Linked DNA regions of Pelodiscus sinensis. The protein of the gene in region 2 interacts with the protein of the main gene of each other region in a biochemical or structural test. Links are inferred from orthologs where the notes say so. Each region holds a gene or a part of one and is shown on either strand. Other genes may lie near its edges. The genes, in order: SNTB2 and PTPRN.

Evidence for each region.
Region 1: the proteins of PTPRN (region 2) and SNTB2 form a complex in vitro, tested with the Homo sapiens proteins (2 studies listed by BioGRID and IntAct). The link is inferred for Pelodiscus sinensis from reciprocal best matches to the Homo sapiens genes PTPRN and SNTB2.

What each region holds. Positions count from the first base shown.
Region 1 is NC_134722.1:1,963,071-1,971,451, forward strand, and holds the start of SNTB2 (beta-2-syntrophin), read right to left. Parts: upstream 3,319-8,381; 5' UTR 3,241-3,318; coding exon 2,799-3,240; intron 1-2,798. Other genes in the region: UTP4 (U3 small nucleolar RNA-associated protein 4 homolog), read right to left, coding at 8,254-8,370. UniProt on the Homo sapiens protein: Adapter protein that binds to and probably organizes the subcellular localization of a variety of membrane proteins. May link various receptors to the actin cytoskeleton and the dystrophin glycoprotein complex.
Region 2 is NW_027465982.1:217,830-225,804, forward strand, and holds the start of PTPRN (receptor-type tyrosine-protein phosphatase-like N), read right to left. Parts: upstream 3,691-7,975; 5' UTR 3,619-3,690; coding exon 3,534-3,618; intron 1-3,533. UniProt on the Homo sapiens protein: Plays a role in vesicle-mediated secretory processes. Required for normal accumulation of secretory vesicles in hippocampus, pituitary and pancreatic islets.

The DNA.
Region 1 (8,381 bases), on a different chromosome or scaffold from region 2:
GACCACATTTTACCTCCAGCAAAAATCAAATCCTTTCACAGCATTAAACAAATGCTGCCTGATATAGCAGTGTACTGTATAGCTAGAATAGTGGGGGGGGGGGGGGAGACACCCATAATTTATCACCCTTCTGAATGGAGCTTTATGGTTTTCTTTCTTCTATCATCTTCCAGATAATTATTGCCAATGATGGGTCAGCTTATAGACTCATAGACTTTAAGGTCAGAAGGGACCATTATGATCATCTAGTCTGACCCCCTGCACAGTGCAGGCCACAGAATCTCACCCACCCCTCTTAGAATAATCCTCTCATCTATGTCTCAGATATTGAAGCCTTCAAATACTTTGAAGGCCCCAAGATGCAGAGAATCCTCCAGCTGTGATCTGTGCCCCATGCTACAGAGGAAGGCAAAAAACCTCCAGGGTCTCTGCCAATCTACCCTGGAGGAAAATTCCTTCCCGACCCCAAATATGGCGATCAGCTAAACCCTGAGCATGTGGGCAAGACTCATCAGCCAGACACCCAGAAAGTTTGCTACGTATTTCACATTTCTATAGCTAAATTCCTCTTAACACCCTCTCAATAGGCCTCCAATCTCCAGCACCTCTCTCAGCACCATCTTTGCAACAGCATGAATAGACTTTGCAAGAATTTTCATAAAACAAGTTGACAAATAAGCATTGTCAGAGCCAGAAAGTTCATAGCTGAGTTCAAGTACTTTCCCGTGAAGCTATCCCAGCTTCTTTCAGACCATTCCTTCCAACCAACAGTCCAAAGTCGTGAGCCCCAGAGCTCAATGCTCTTTGCAGAATGCCCGCCTCTCCCATTCAAGCAATCAGCAGTTTGATGCCAGTTACTTTACAGACACAAATACAAATCCATCACTTAATACTGCAACTTGCTTTTCTTCATGAACATTTTAGACCAGCAATGATTCTGCTTTAGGGAAAAGATTATTCCCACAAAACCAACATATCCAGGGATGTTAAGTAGCGGTTAATTATCTAATTGATAAGTTGATAGAATTTCCATCGACTACTTAATTAGTCGATGGGGGGGTGCTCAGTACCCTCCCCCCGTGGGTCTGCAGTTTAAATGTAGTAGGAGTCAGGCTCATGCTTCTTCCTCCCTTGCTGCCTCTGATACAGAGGGGAAGGGGAAGCAAGTAGCACCATGACTACCCGATAAGCCTAAATTTATCGGGTAGTTGACTACTCGGCTTACATCCCTAATCCACATGGGCCTCTATTTTAAGCGAAGACTGTTTTAAAGAGCTTCCACCTCCACGTAAACAGAAAACTTTGGCCTGTTGCTTTGCAGCCCAGCATTTAGATTCAGTCTGTTTTAGTAGCATTGGAGCACATCGATCACAAATGGTACTGCTCAAGCACCAGTGGACAAGACCGTACAACCGCATTCTCAGTTACAGCTATGGGGCTTCTAACCACAAATACTACCTTATCTGCTCAATTGCACATGTTGCCTCACTCAGCAACTGCAGAGCAGCAGCAGCAGCATCTCTACTGGAGGAAAAGCCACAACAAGAGACCTGAGAATCAGAATTGCACCATGGGTGAGGGCTTTTTGCAGCCAGCAGATGTTGCTGCTAGCCTGTGAGCCAGGCAGTGAACGATTCCCCTAAGAAAGGAAGGGAGGAGCCAGATTACATCTTCACTGGCAGCTTGTGGCCCCGAGTTACAGGTCATGAATTTTCCCAAAACAACAGACAAATCTAGGCATGGACTCCCACCCACTACTGTGAGAACACAAGCACACGTCAATACAGATCTTCAAGCGCGAGGGGACAAGTTCTCACGCAGGATGCGGGCTTGAGTCAGGACATGTCCCCTCTAACAGCGGGCAGCTCAGAGAGTTGAGTTAATGCCCATCACGCCCGCCGGCTGCTCAGAGAGGACAGACTGGAAGAGGAGGGCCACTCTCCGCTCTCAAAACCAGGACCATGCAGCACTTTAAAGATGAACAAGATGGTTTATTAGGCGATGATGTGAGAAAGTGGGTCTGGCCCACGAAAGCTCAAACAGTGGCATATCGTGCCAGTTTTCTTCCACTATTTGATCTGAGGCAGTGGGTCTGGCCCAGGCGAGCTCGTCACCTAATAAACCTGCCTAGTCCTGTGCTGTTCAGCCCGACCAGCCTAACCCGGCTGCGTCTCTATCACTCTCCTTTCTCAAGCTCTCTGCGCCCGGCTCTCGGCGCCCGCACGGGGACACCCCCGTGGTGCGGGGCCGCCCGCGGGGAGCCAGTGTCCGGGGCTCGGAGGGGGGGAGCCCGGGTCGCGCGGGGGGCCCTGAGAGACACGCCTCCCCCGCCCGCGGGGAGCTGGTGTCCAGGGCTCGGGGGGGGGGGCCCTGAGAGACACGCCTCCCCCGCCCGCGGGGAGCTGGTGTCCAGGGCTCGGGGGGGGGGGGCCCTGAGAGACACGCCTCCCCCGCCCGCGGGGAGCTGGTGTCCAGGGCTCGGGGGGGGGGGCCCTGAGAGACACGCCTCCCCCGCCCGCGGGGAGCTGGTGTCCAGGGCTCGGGGGGGGGGGGGGGGCCCTGAGAGACACGCCTCCCCCGCTCGCGGGGAGCCGGTGTCCGGGGCTGGGGGGAGGGGCCGGGTCGCGGGGGGGCCCTGAGAGACACGCCCCTCCCGCCCACGGGGAGCCGGTGTCCGGGGCTCGGGGGGGGGGGGGCCCTGAGAGACACGCCCCTCCCGCCCACGGGGAGCCGGTGTCCGGGGCTGGGGGGGGGCCGGGTCGCGGGGGGGCCCCGAGAGACACGCCCCCCCGCGGTACCTTCCAGCAGCACCTCGCGGCCGGCGCGCTTGAGCGCCTGCACGGCCTGGTCGTGGGTGGCGTCGCGCAGGTCGGTGCCGTTGACCGAGAGGATGGCGTCCCCCAGGCGCAGCGCGCCGCAGCGCTCGGCCGCCAGCCCCGGGAAGATGCGGGAGATGAGCACGGGCATGCGGTTCTCGCGCCCGCCCTTGATGCTGATGCCCAGCCCGCCCGCCTCGGCCTTCACCACCCGCACCCGCCGCACGCCCGGCGGCGCCGGCTCGGCCGCGGGCGGCTCGGGGCTGCCGGCGCCGTTGGGCAGCCCGTTGGGGGGCTCGGGCGGCGGCGGCTCCGAGGTGAGGCTCAGCGCCTCGCCGCTCAGCTCGGCCGCCACCCGCACCCAGCGCTCCCGCAGCAGCAGCTCCAGCAGCCCCGCCTTGGCGGCGCGCGTCCACACCGCCATGCCGCCAACCGCCCGCCCGCCCGCCGCGCGCCGGCCCGCTCAGCAGAGGCGGGCGCCGCCCCGGCCGCGGGCGAGTGCGCCCGCCCGGCCTCCGTCCCGCGCGCGATTGGCGGCCGGCGGCCAGAGGGGCGGGGCCTCGGGGCGGAGCCCCGCCCCCGCCGCAGCGCAGGGACGCACCCCCCCCGGGACGGGCGGCGAGGGGCGGGGCTTACGCCTCGAGCTCCTCCCACGGAGTGGGCGGGGCTTCTGCGGCTCCGCCCTCTTTCCCAAGGCCAAGGGGGTTGAGAGCCATAGACACCCCCCCCCCCCCCACACACACACACACTCCGTCCAAAGGGGTCTGCACAGAGCTTGGGCCAGCAGCACCCTAGCACCAGGGGCCCCTCCGGTGCCCTAGCTCAGCCCCGCCAGCTGTGCCCTCAACCAGCCAATCCAGCCCCAGCCAAGGCAGTAAGAACCAAACCCGACTGGGTCCAGAGCCGGGGATGGTCTGTCTGAAAAATACTATTGTCCTTGGGGCACTGTGGCGGGTGGCAGTGTAGAAAAAGCCCAAAGCTGGGGCATGGTTTGGGAACAGTTCCATCCAAGGCTAAACTGTATTAATAACAGGGAAAGGAGGGAGGCGAGTACATCCCTAGGTCCTCCCCTGCTGCAGGACTAGTGAAGGCAAAGCCCCGTGGGGAACACCAACACCCAGCTTTCCAGATCCCCTGCCTTTGCTTCACTTTCTTGCTCCAGGAAAAAGGTAGCCTGATCTCCCCGTTCCCCGCTGCAGCCCTGAACAAGGGGAGCAGAGCCAGGGCTAGACAGCGGGCGGCAGCACATCCAATCTTAAGGCAGAAATTCGGTTACAGGCCCGCTTGAGATTAGTACAGCCCCACCAGCCCGGAGCTTGCTGAATTCCTGCCTGAGGCTGGGCCTTGGCTACTGATCCCTCAGAGCCCTATTTTTAACTCAAGCAGATGTACCCACCAATGATCTCAGACTCCCCACAACACCTACTGAGAGGGGAAGTACAACCAACGCCTGCCAGCCCTTTGCCTAGCACCCTGTGAGCACAGGGTTGGGGGCAGGTGGTTCAGGCAGCAATAACCACACGAAGTTGACACCCCTTTCTCATTCATGAAAATGAAAGGGAATTGTGAATTAGAGCAGCGTGAGGCAGGACAGACATTTTTGCTTTAGAAATCAATTGGCTAAAATATTAGGAAAAACTCAGTTCAAGAAGTCACATATCAAGATTAAACTACATTTCCCCCCACCCCCGTGTTCTAGCTCTGTCTACTGCTCAAACAGCAGCAGCTGCAAGTTTTATGTGCACAAGCCAGTGTGTTGCACGTCAGACCTCTACTAAATATAATACACAACAAACAGCCACAATCAGTGCAATGTAACTTACTGGGATTTGGGAAGACTATAAGACCAGGTATCATATGTAACTAGGTAGTTTGACAAGGGCTTTGGAATGACCAGAGACAAGTTCTAAGAATGTAAAAGTGAAATGCATGGAGATGCCTATTTCCTAGAACTGGATGGGACCCTGAAAGGTCATCAAGTCCAGTCCCCTGCCTTCACAGCAGGACCAAATACCATCCCTGACAGATTTTGCCCCAGATCGCTAAATGGCTTCCTCAAGGATTGAGCTCACAATGCTGGGTTTAGCAGGCCAACATTCAAACCAGTTATCCCTCCCCCCTAAGAATGAGGTTGCCTATTCCAGAACTACCAGCAGCACAGGGGGAATCTAATTGTTAACACAATCGCTGTGATCAAAAAACACCAACTGCACTTTGGTAATGGGAGGTTTCCTGCTGCTCAGATGTATAAATGATGCTAAGGGGTAGCAGCCCACAGCACAAGGATGGGGGGGGAAGGGGGCTGCTCTTCTCCATAGAACAACCTACACTCCAGAACAATTCTTTGCACTGGGGTTTTCTGCTCCCAAGCAGGATGGGACAGAGGCCTGATCTGATTCACCATTTAGTATAAATGCTCTCCCCGCACGTGAGCTTTTGCCTTGAAATGGGAACTGCAGAGCAACTGAAATGTTGCTTAATTTCACCGGAGCTGCTGAAATCTGCTGAGTTGCTATTCACCGCGACCTGGTGAATTAGTTCTGATTGAGAGCTCTCAGCCTTCTCCTCCAGGCGATGATGCTGTAACTTGATCCAGGGGTTGGCCTTTGTGACAGCAGTACCAAGAGGGCTGCATAGGAATCACAAGTATAAGGGACAGCCCGGTGCTTTGTTAGAAGGTGACATGCCACAGGATTTCAGCAGGAGGGGGATTACAACAGCCAAAACGAGCCTCTGAACAGGAGCTGAATGGAAATGGCAGAATAGCCGAACGTGATGGGCGCAACCACATAGATGCAGACTGGAGAAGTATCCCCATGGGGGGAGCAGTCATGCAGCCCACAGATCACTCCCCAGCTACAGCCAGTGGTCTCCCTCCAGGGATCAGCAGGAAAACCCCAGCTCAGTGATTGAGGTTTTGCAAGTCTGAGCACACCCCCGTTCTTCACGTTTTGTGAATTAACTTCCTTTCCTGCTAACACGGACCAAGCTGTAACAAGCTGACAGCCTAGAGGGAGCCGCCCCCGCAGCCCTGCACCGCTTTCAAGCCTGTGGTTTCAGTTCAGAAACATTCACAATCAATTTTGCAGCAGCTTCGAATGACAAACACAGGGCTGGGAGGGCCCTGGAATGGTCACCTAGGCCAGTTCCTGCGCTAAGGCAGGGCCCAGTAAATCTTATGGGGAGATCAACTGAGTCTCCCTGTTTCCATGAGCCGTAACCACCTAACAGCTAAGGGAACGGTGCCCCCTGCTGGCGCAGCGTTAGAGGGGCCTGCAAAGCAAGCTGCAGGGTCCTCGGAGCCAGAAAGCCTGGTTGTGCACCACAGTTCAAAGTATCACTGGTAAAGGCTAAGAAAACACAGAGCAGCAGCTCTCAGACTGCTCCCGACCACTGCTTGTCCACAGGAGTATCTTCTGGAGCCGGCACAGGAAGGCAGCAAGAAGCAAGTGGGGCTAACTGATGGCAGAGGGGGGCAGGCCGCGTGGTCATGGAAGCGGGGTGCTCACACCACACTGTAAGGCCCAGCGCACGCGGCAAACGCAGATTCAGAACTGTGGGAGTAGAACAAGGGCATCCAACATGGAGCGGGAAGAGAAAGGGGGCCTGGAGGAGAAGGGTCATGGGGGTACAGGCTGCAGGGGCTGTCAGGAAAGGCCAGCAGCAGGCAGGCGGTGAAAGCAGGTGGCTACAGCATGCACACAAGTCACTGCCTGCGTGCGCAGCACCAACATCTACTCCACACACTCACAAGCCGGGCTGGAACGGTTCGCTCAGCTTGGCTTAGACAAGCCCCTCGGTGTTCCTGTAACTGCCTGCAGCGATGCTTGGGCTCGGATTTAGACGCATGCCCACGCATGGGGCACGCTGGGACTGCACACGCAAGCGGCCAGCTGGGCCCTTTGCACATGCAGGTTCTACGTTTTGAAGCTGGGTCCCCATGCCTGGCTGGGCACCTTCGGGATTTGAATCATGGCATAAGCAGTGAAATCAAGCATCTGCTTTCTGTAAAAGGGCCACCAAACCAGTAACATGCACCAGGAACTGCCTTTCAACTAGGGGCAGGAAAGGTTAACTGGTAAACATTACCCATACCAGGTGCTGCTTACTGGTCATGCTTAACCAGTAGGGGCTGGTCCAGCCTGGCTCCAGTGGGCGAGGGGAGGCACCAGGGCTGGACATGCTTTCCCCCGCCCCCGATCAATTGCTTAACCGGTCAAACATTATGTTTAACCGGTTAACTAATTAAACGGGATTTAACATTTCGGCTACGTCTCGATTGGCATGATTTTCCGCAAATGCTTTGAACGGAAAAGTTTTCCGTTAAAAGCATTTGCAGAAAAGAGCGTCTAGATTGGCACGGATGCTTTTCCGCACAAGCACTTTTTGCGGAAAAGTGTCCGTGCCAATCTAGACGCGGTTTTGCGCAAAAAAGCCCCGATCGCCATTTTCGCCATTGGGGCTTTTTTGCGGAAAACAGTCCTGTGCTGTCTACAGTGGCCCTCTTGAGCAAATGATTTGCGCAAGAGGGCTTTTGCCCGAACGGAAGCAGCATAGTATTTCCGCAAGAAGCACTGATTTCAGACAGTAGGAAGTCAGTGTTCTTGTGGAAATTCAAGCAGCCGGTGTAGACAGCTGGCAAGTTTCAACTCACCCTTCTAGTTTCAACTCACCCTGGTGCAGGCCTACTGTACACAGGTACCAGCTAAAAGAAATCCGGTGTGGCCGGCTACCGATCCCCCTCGAGCTAGTTGCTGTTTACACACAAAGAGCGGAGCATGAAATCTGGCTGGACGCAGGGTTTTGGCAGTGGCCAAAGTGGCTGTTTGTTGGTATGAATCTGGGTGAGAACTGACCACATCTGGCAGAAGCCAACGGGCAGCCCCCCCCCCATTCTCCCAGCGGGCAGCCCCCCCCCCCATTCTCCCAGCGGGCAGCCCAGCAGCAAGCCACCGAGGGGCGGGTGGCCAGGTCGAACACGGGCTGAGGTGTCAAAGGGGGTTCCATCCCCCAGTTAGGCTGCAGGGCTTTGGCACAGGGATTGCCTCTCCCGTGACATCCGCACAGAGCCGGGCTCCCAGGCCCCGCGAGCGATGGGGGCGAGAAGCGTTCCTGTCCGGCCTCAGGACCAGCCGCGCGGCAGGGAGAGCCGCCAGCATCCGGCGCAACGAAGGCCGTACTGACTGCAAGCCTGGGGCCTGCCCTGAGCGAGAAGGGGCCACGTTGCTGTAACCCTCCAGGAACGGGCCCTGGGGCCAGGCCAGCCTCTGCGGCGGCGAGAAGCCCCAAGGGGCAGGCGCCCATCCCACATCCCTTCTCTGGGACCCAGCCCTAGAGCCGTCGGGGCTGTAGGAAGGCAGAGGGAGAGTCCACAGCACAGCCGAGGTTTATTACTACCGGCGTCCCCAGCAGCAATAGTGCAGAGTGTCTGTGGCGCTTAGGTGCCAAACTTCTTCTGTTGGACAGGGGGCGGCAGCTGTGTCTTGATGTCCATCAGGGGCCGCTCCACCACCACCAGGCAGCCGTCCTCCAGCAGGTCCACAAACAGCAGGGGCTGCAGGGCAG
Region 2 (7,975 bases):
CCCCACAGCTCCTCTGTGCCGGCCAGCCCCCCAGCCTGCCCCACAGCTCCTCTGTGCCGGCCAACCCCCCAGCCTGCCCCACGGCTCCTCTGTGCCAGCCAACCCCCCAGCCTGCCCCACGGCTCCTCTGTGCCGGCCAACCCCCCAGCCTGCCCCACGGCTCCTCTGTGCCGGCCAACCCCCCAGCCTGCCCCACGGCTCCTCTGTGCTGGCCAACCCCCCAGCCTGCCCCACGGCTCCTCTGTGCCGGCCAGCCCCCTCAGCTTGCCCCACGGCTCCTCTGTGCCAGCCAGCCCCCCAGCCTGCCCCATGGCTCCTCTGTGCCAGCCTGCCCCTCAGCCTGCGCCATGGCTGCTCTGTGCCAGCCAGCTCCCCAGCCTGCCCCACAGCTCCTCTGTGCCAGCCAGCCCCCCAACCTGCCCCACAGCTCTTCTGTGCCAGCCAGCCCCCCAGCCTGCCCCACAGCCCCTCTGTGCCAGCCAGCCCCCCAGCCTGCCTCACGGCTCCTCTGTGCCAGCCAGCCCCCCAGCCTGCCTCACGGCTCCTCTGTGCCAGCCAGCCCCCCAGCCTGCCTCACGGCTCCTCTGTGCCGGCCAGCCCCCCCAGCCTCCCTCACGGCTCCTCTGTGCCAGCCAGCCCCCCCAGCCTCCCTCACGACTCCTCTGTGCCAGCCAGCTCCCAGCCTGCCCCACGGCTCCTCTGTGCCAGCCAGCTCCCCAGCCTGCCCCACAGCTCCTCTGTGCCAGCCAGCCCCCCAGCCTGCCCCACGGCTCCTCTGTGCCAGCCAGCCCCCCAGCCCAGCCCCACGGCAGCCAGACAGAACTCCGGTCCAGCCCCGTGGTATGAACAGGGCCCACAGCACCCTTGTGCCAGGCTCTGAAGGGTCCAAGGTCACTCCCTGGGGAGCCAGCAAGGTTTGGCCCCTCTGCTCCCGAGGGGAGGGGAAGGGCCCCCAGTCTGCAGGGGGGCGCCGTGGGGATGGGGCCTGGCAGGAGCCTGCTGAGCCGTGGGCCACAACCATGGATTTGAGCCGCATGCGGGTCCCAGGGCAGGAAGATAAAGTGCCGGGCGGCTTCAGAACTGGCACCTCCTCCCCCCACCCCCCCGCCTGCCCCAGGGCTCCCGGGCAGGCGCTAAGCATGCTGGGAGGCGCCTTCACCCCTTGGCTGCCCACTCTGTGCCCAGCGGGCGGGGGCGTTGGGGCCCAGAGCACTCCCCCACCAGAGCCCGGCCCGGCCCCACTCGGTCTGCACCCGCCCCCCCATCCCAGGCTCCACGCGCCCGACCCATGCTCGCGAAGCGCCCTGCAGCTGCGCCCCAGCCCCACCCCCCGGCCACAGCCCCGCCCCCCCTGCCCTGCCGCCTCCTCCGGCTCAGGGTCTCGGCGCCTGCGTCTCGTACGAGCCACCTGCCTGAGCTGCCGGGGGCTCGAGAGGCCGGGGGGCCCAGCTCCTGCCCTGCTTTGCAGCCCCGCAGGATGGGCAGAGCCAGGCAGGGCCAAGCAGAGCCCCTGGGAGCCCCGCCCAGCTGGAGGGGGACGGGGACACCCCTGCCCGAGCAGGCAGGGTGCTCAGCCAGCGTCTCCGGCTCCCTGCCAGGGAGGGGCTCCGGATCGGGCCCTTTCAGCGGCAGCAGGCCCGGGGGAGCGGGAAGGCCGCTGCACCGCACGCACAGGCACCAAACGGCTGCCGAGGCCCCAGGCAGGGGTGCAAGGGGGAGGCTGCCAGCCGCTGGCCCCACGGGCTCCAGGGACCTTGTCCAGCAAGGGCAGGACTGGCCTGTGCCCCCTCTTGGGGAGGCGCCCACTGGCCCCCAACCTGGCGCCAGGGGAGAAGGGAGATGGGCCCCCTCTGTGTGGGAGGGGCTCAGGCCACCTTCCCAGCTGCGGGGACCAAGGGCAGGGGGCCGCTCGCCCCCCCAAAGCAGGCGGGGGGGAGGGAGGGGCGCCGGGGGGAGGGGGCGGGCTGGCGCAAGTGGAGAAGAGGCGTTTCCCCAGCACCGACGGGCAGGGACCAGGGACCAGTGACGTCTGCAGCGGAGCAGGAGGAATACTGCCTGGCACAGGAGCGGGGGGAGAGCAGGGGGGCTGTGAGCCCTGTGACGTGCCTGTGACAGGCAGCCACGCAGAGGGCAGACAGCACCACCCCCCCGGGGGCAGCGGGGTCCTCCTAGACCCCCAGGATGGGCAGGTTCACCCCCAGCCTGTCTGCTCCCAGCCGCGTTCCCCCTTCCCAGCTCCCCAGCAGCACTGCCCCTCCAGCTGCCCCCCAGGAGCAGGACCACGGTTTCCAGGTGCAGCCCCCGGGCTCAGTCAGGCCTGGCCAGGGTGCAAACACCAGGTGCCCCCGTCCCGCCGCCCTGCCCAGCCTGACCCCTCGCTGCCTGCTCCCCGACGGGAAGGTAAGAGCAGTGCCGGGAGGCTGGGGGTGCAGCCCTGGGGCTAGAGTGAACCCCACCTCACGCAGCACCCCCCAAAGCCAAAGCCAGGGGTGCCAGGCAAGGGGCAGGAGCCACGCGCGGCAGGGGGCAGTGCATGGCAGGGGGGGCAGCTTCCCCCCCAGCCGCTGTAACCGGGGCCCGAGCAGCAGCCGCCCATGCGCAAGGGGTCCAGCTGCGAGGGCCCCAGACAACAACCAAGCTCCACTCCCACACAGGCGCCAGATGCTGAAATCCAGCCCCCAGCAAGACAGCCCCCCCCTGGCCAGCCCGCCCTCCCCATGGGGATCCCCCCAGATCGATACCCCCCATGGGAACCCCCCCAGACCGATACCCCCCAGCCCAGCCCCCCCACGGGGACCCCCCAGACCGATACCCCCCTCAGCACAGCCACCCCCCGGGGACCCCCAGACCGATACCCCCCAGCCCAGCCCCCCCACGGGGACCCCCCAGACCGATACCCCCCAGCCCAGCCCCCCCACGGGGGCCCCCCAGACCGATACCCCCCCAGCTCAGCCCCCCCACGGGGACCCCCCAGACCGATACCTCCCTCAGCACAGCCACCCCCCATGGGGACCCCCAGACCGATACCCCCCATTGGGACCTCCCCAGACCGATACCCACCCAGACCAGCCCTCCCCACGGGGACCCCCAGACCAGCCCTCCCCATGTGGACCCCCCAGACCGATACCCCCCTCAGCACAGCCACCCGCCATGGGGACCCCCCAGACCGATACCCCCCATTGGGACCCCCCCAGACCAATACCCCTCCAGACCGATACCCTCCATGGGGACTGCCCAGATCGATACCCCTCCAGACCGATACCCCCAGCCCAGCCCCCCCACGGGGACCCCCCCAGACCGATGCCCCCCCAGCCCTCCCCATGGGGACCTCCCCAGACCGATACCCCCCCAGCCCTCCCCATGGGGACCCCCAGGCCGATACCCCCCAGCCCAGCCCCCCCCATGGGGACCCCCCCAGACCGATACCCCCAGCCCAGCCCCCCCATGGGGACCCCCCAGACCGATACCCCCAGCCCAGCCCCCCCATGGGGACCCCCCCAGGCCGACACCCCCATCCCCCGGCCGCCCCTCACCGTGGGGTCCGGCGCCCCCGGCCCGCGGCAGGCGGCCGGCCACGAGCAGGAGGCAGAGAAGCGGCCGCAGCAGCCGCCGCCCCATCCCGGCCGCTCGGCTCCGCTCCGCACCACGCCGGGCCCGCAGCCCAGCGCCGCCCGCAGCCGCCGGGCCGCCCGGCCACGCCCCCACCCGAGGAGCCAATCACAGGCCGCAGTCTGGACACGCCCCTTGCGGAGCCACCAATCGCACCCTGCAGCCAGGACACGCCCCCAACAGGGAACCAACCACCACGCATGTCTGGGACACGCCCTCCAGGTAATCTAAATGAGCGGGACACGCCCCCTGCCAATAGCCCCGCCCCTTTGGGATGCACCAATCACCGTGAGAGCCCTTCCACAGGGGACCAACCGCGTCCCCCAAAATGTATTAACCCCGCCCCCTGAATCACGCCCTCGCCAGTTGCCCCAATCACTCTTACACACAGGACACGCCCCTCTCTGAGGAGCCACGCCCACTGCAGATGACACCAACCACAACCCAGGGGGATGGCAGGTGCCTACCAGAGTCCCGCCCCCTGTACAACAGACCAATCACAGCCCTGCCCCGACACACCCTCACACCAGGTGGGCCAATAGGACGAGTGTGTCTGGGCTTCTAGGAGCTGGCACGTGCCTGGTGGCCAATGTCCTAGGAACCTGGGGGGTGAGGCAGCTAGTGGGGCAGGATGGGCAAAAGGGGGCAGGACAATGCAGTGAGGCGGGGGGTGGGGCAATGGGGCAGGGCAGATAATAGGACAAGTGCATGGCAGTGGGGCAGTGCAGACAATGGGGAAGGGCAATAGAGCAGGCGGGGCAATAGGGCAGGGCAGTGGGGCAGGGCAGATAATAGGACAAGTGCATGGCAGTGGGGCAGTGCAGACAATGGGGAAGGGCAATAGGGCAGGTGGGGCAATAGGGCAGGGCAGTGGGGCAGGGCAGATAATAGGATAGAGCTGGGCAAGGGAGCAAGGCAATTGGGCAGGGCAGACGATGGGGCAGGGCACAGAGGCGGGGCAATGGGGAAGGGCAGGGCAATGGGGTGGGGCAATGGGACAGGGTAGGGCAGTGGGGTGGGGCAGGCAATGAGGAAAGGCAGGGAGTGGGATGAGGGCAGGGCAGGGCAGTGAGGTGGGGCAATGGGGCAGGGCAGGGCAGGGAGTGGGATGAGGGCAGGGCAGGGCAGTGAGGTGGGGCAATGGGGCAGGGCAGGGCAGGGAGTGGGATGAGGGCAGGGCAGGGCAGTGAGGTGGGGCAATGGGGCAGGGCAGGGCAGGGAGTGGGATGAGGGCAGGGCAGGGCAGTGAGGTGGGGCAATGGGGCAGGGCAGGGCAGGGAGTGGGATGAGGGCAGGGCAGGGCAGTGAGGTGGGGCAATGGGGCAGGGCAGGGCAGGGAGTGGGATGAGGGCAGGGCAGGGCAGTGAGGTGGGGCAATGGGGCAGGGCAGGGCAGGGAGTGGGATGAGGGCGGGGCAGGGCAGTGAGGTGGGGCAATGGGGCAGGGCAGGGCAGGGAGTGGGATGAGGGCGGGGCAGGGCAGTGAGGTGGGGCAATGGGGCAGGGCAGGGCAGGGAGTGGGATGAGGGCGGGGCAGGGCAGTGAGGTGGGGCAATGGGGCAGGGCAGGGCAGGGAGTGGGATGAGGGCGGGGCAGGGCAGTGAGGTGGGGCAATGGGGCAGGGCAGGGCAGGGAGTGGGATGAGGGTGGGGCAGGGCAGTGAGGTGGGGCAATGGGGCAGGGCAGGGAGTGGGACGGGGCAGGGCGGGGCAATGGGGCAGACAGTCACCAGCTGGCAAGCATGGCAGCTCAGTGCAGGCTCTCACCTCGTCTTGTGGGGTCTGGCCTCTGGGAGGGGGTCCCGGGCATTTGCCGAGCTCCCGCTGAGCATCGCCTGCCCCCCCGCCCGGGCCCTCGGTGCAGCCGGCGCCTGCGCCTCCCCCACCTGTGCAGAGCACAATGCGCCGAGTGGCACAGCCAGGCCCCTGCCAGCGCCCGCACGTCCAGGCCTGGCCCCTCGCCGAGCCCCCGCCGGCCCCGCCCTCCAGCATCAGCTCCTGGGCCTCCCTTTGCAGGGCCTCGCTGCTCCGCCCCGGGCTCTGGCTCACCCCTGGGCTGCTGGAACCGCTGCCACAGGCCCAGAGACCAGCCCCGTTGCTGTTCTCACACAGGCACCTGTGCTTCCCCCGGGCCATCCGGGCTGCCAGTACCTGGGTGCCTGGGCTGCAGGGCCCTCCCTGCCCTTAGCCCGGGCAGGCCTTGTCCGCACTGGCAGGGGTCACCTCCGCTCGCCAGCCACTGGCAACACCAGCCAGCCCTGCAGACCTCATAGACCCCTGCAGCTTAGCCAGGAGCCCCCACTAATCCTTGAGCCCTGTGAGTAACCGGCTGGAGTGCCCAGCCCCTGGGCCACTGAGCGCCAGGCCTGCCAGCTGCCAGGGACCCTCTGGTCATCTTCCCGAGGCGCTGGGCCCTCCGGCCTGCCAGAGACCCTCTGGTCACCTCCCCAAGCGCCGGGACCACCAACCCGCCAGGGACCCTCTGGTCACCTCCCCGAGCACCAGGCCCGCCAGGGACCCTCTGGTCACCTCCCCGAGCACCAGGCCCGCCAGAGACCCTCTGGTCACCTCCCCGAGCACCGGGACCACCAACCCGCCAGGGACCCTCTGGTCACCTCCCCAAGCACCGGGACCACCAACCCGCCAGGGACCCTCTGGTCACCTCCCCGAGCACCGGGCCCGCCAGAGACCCTCTGGTCACCTCCCCGAGCACCGGGCCCGCCAGGGACCCTCTGGTCACCTCCCCAAGCGCCGGGACCACCAACCCGCCAGGGACCCTCTGGTCACCTCCCCGAGCACCGGGCCCGCCAGAGACCCTCTGGTCACCTCCCCGAGCACCGGGCCCGCCAGGGACCCTCTGGTCACCTCCCCAAGCGCCGGGACCACCAACCCGCCAGGGACCCTCTGGTCACCTCCCCGAGCACCAGGCCCGCCAGGGACCCTCTGGTCACCTCCCCGAGCACCAGGCCCGCCAGAGACCCTCTGGTCACCTCCCCGAGCACCGGGACCACCAACCCGCCAGGGACCCTCTGGTCACCTCCCCAAGCACCGGGACCACCAACCCGCCAGGGACCCTCTGGTCACCTCCCCGAGCACCGGGCCCGCCAGAGACCCTCTGGTCACCTCCCCGAGCACCGGGCCCGCCAGGGACCCTCTGGTCACCTCCCCAAGCGCCGGGACCACCAACCCGCCAGGGACCCTCTGGTCACCTCCCCGAGCACCGGGCCCGCCAGAGACCCTCTGGTCACCTCCCCGAGCACCGGGCCCGCCAGGGACCCTCTGGTCACCTCCCCAAGCGCCGGGACCACCAACCCGCCAGGGACCCTCTGGTCACCTCCCCGAGCACCGGGCCCACCAGGGACCCTCTGGTCACCTCCCCGAGCACCGGGCCCACCAGGGACCCTCTGGTCACTGTGACGTAGTGGGGGGTTCCTTGCTGGCTACAGCACGGCCCAGCAGGGCAGGGGGTGAGTCATTATGCAAAGAGGGTCTCTCAACCTGTCTGACCAGCTACCCCTCAGGGAGAGAATCAAAGGAAGGTGGATGCCGCCCCTGGCTGGGAGAGAGTTGGTTAGTTTCTGTCTGGGAAGCAGGGGAGAAAGAGCTAGGGAGGGGGCTGGGATTGTAGGGCCCAGCCACCCCCCATCTCAAGGGGGGGCTCTGAGGCCTCTTAGCCCCCTTCCTGGAACCAGATTCCATCTGTGCTGGGCTGTACCCTGGAGAGGCAATAAACTCCCCTGTTCTACTGGCTGGTGGGGTCTGTTCATGCCATTACAGGGGTGCAGGAGTTGGGAAACCCCAACGCACCAGCACAGTCACCTCCCCAAGCACTGGGACCACCAGCCCGCCGTGAACCCTCTGGTCACCTCCTCGAGTGCTGGGACCGCCAGGGACCCTCTGGTCACCTCCCCGAGGCGCTGGACCCTCCGGCCTGCCAGGGACCCTCTGGTCACCTCCCCGAGGCGCTGGACCCTCCGACCTGCCAGGGACCCTCTGGTCACCTCCCCGAGGCGCTGGACCCTCCGACCTGCCAGGGACCCTCTGGTCACCTCCCCGAGGCGCTGGACCCTCCGACCTGCCAGGGACCCTCTGGTCACCTCCCCGAGGCGCTGGACCCTCCGGCCTGCCAGGGACCCTCTGGTCACCTCCCCGAGGCGCTGGACCCTCCGGCCTGCCAGGGACCCTCTGGTCACCTCCCCGAGGCGCTGGACCCTCCGACCTGCCAGGGACCCTCTGGTCACCTCCCCGAGGCGCTGGACCCTCCGGCCTGCCAGGGACCCTCTGGTCACCTCCCCGAGGCGCTGGACCCTCCGGCCTGCCAGGGACCCTCTGGTCACCTCCCCGAGGCGCTGGACCCTCCGACCTGCC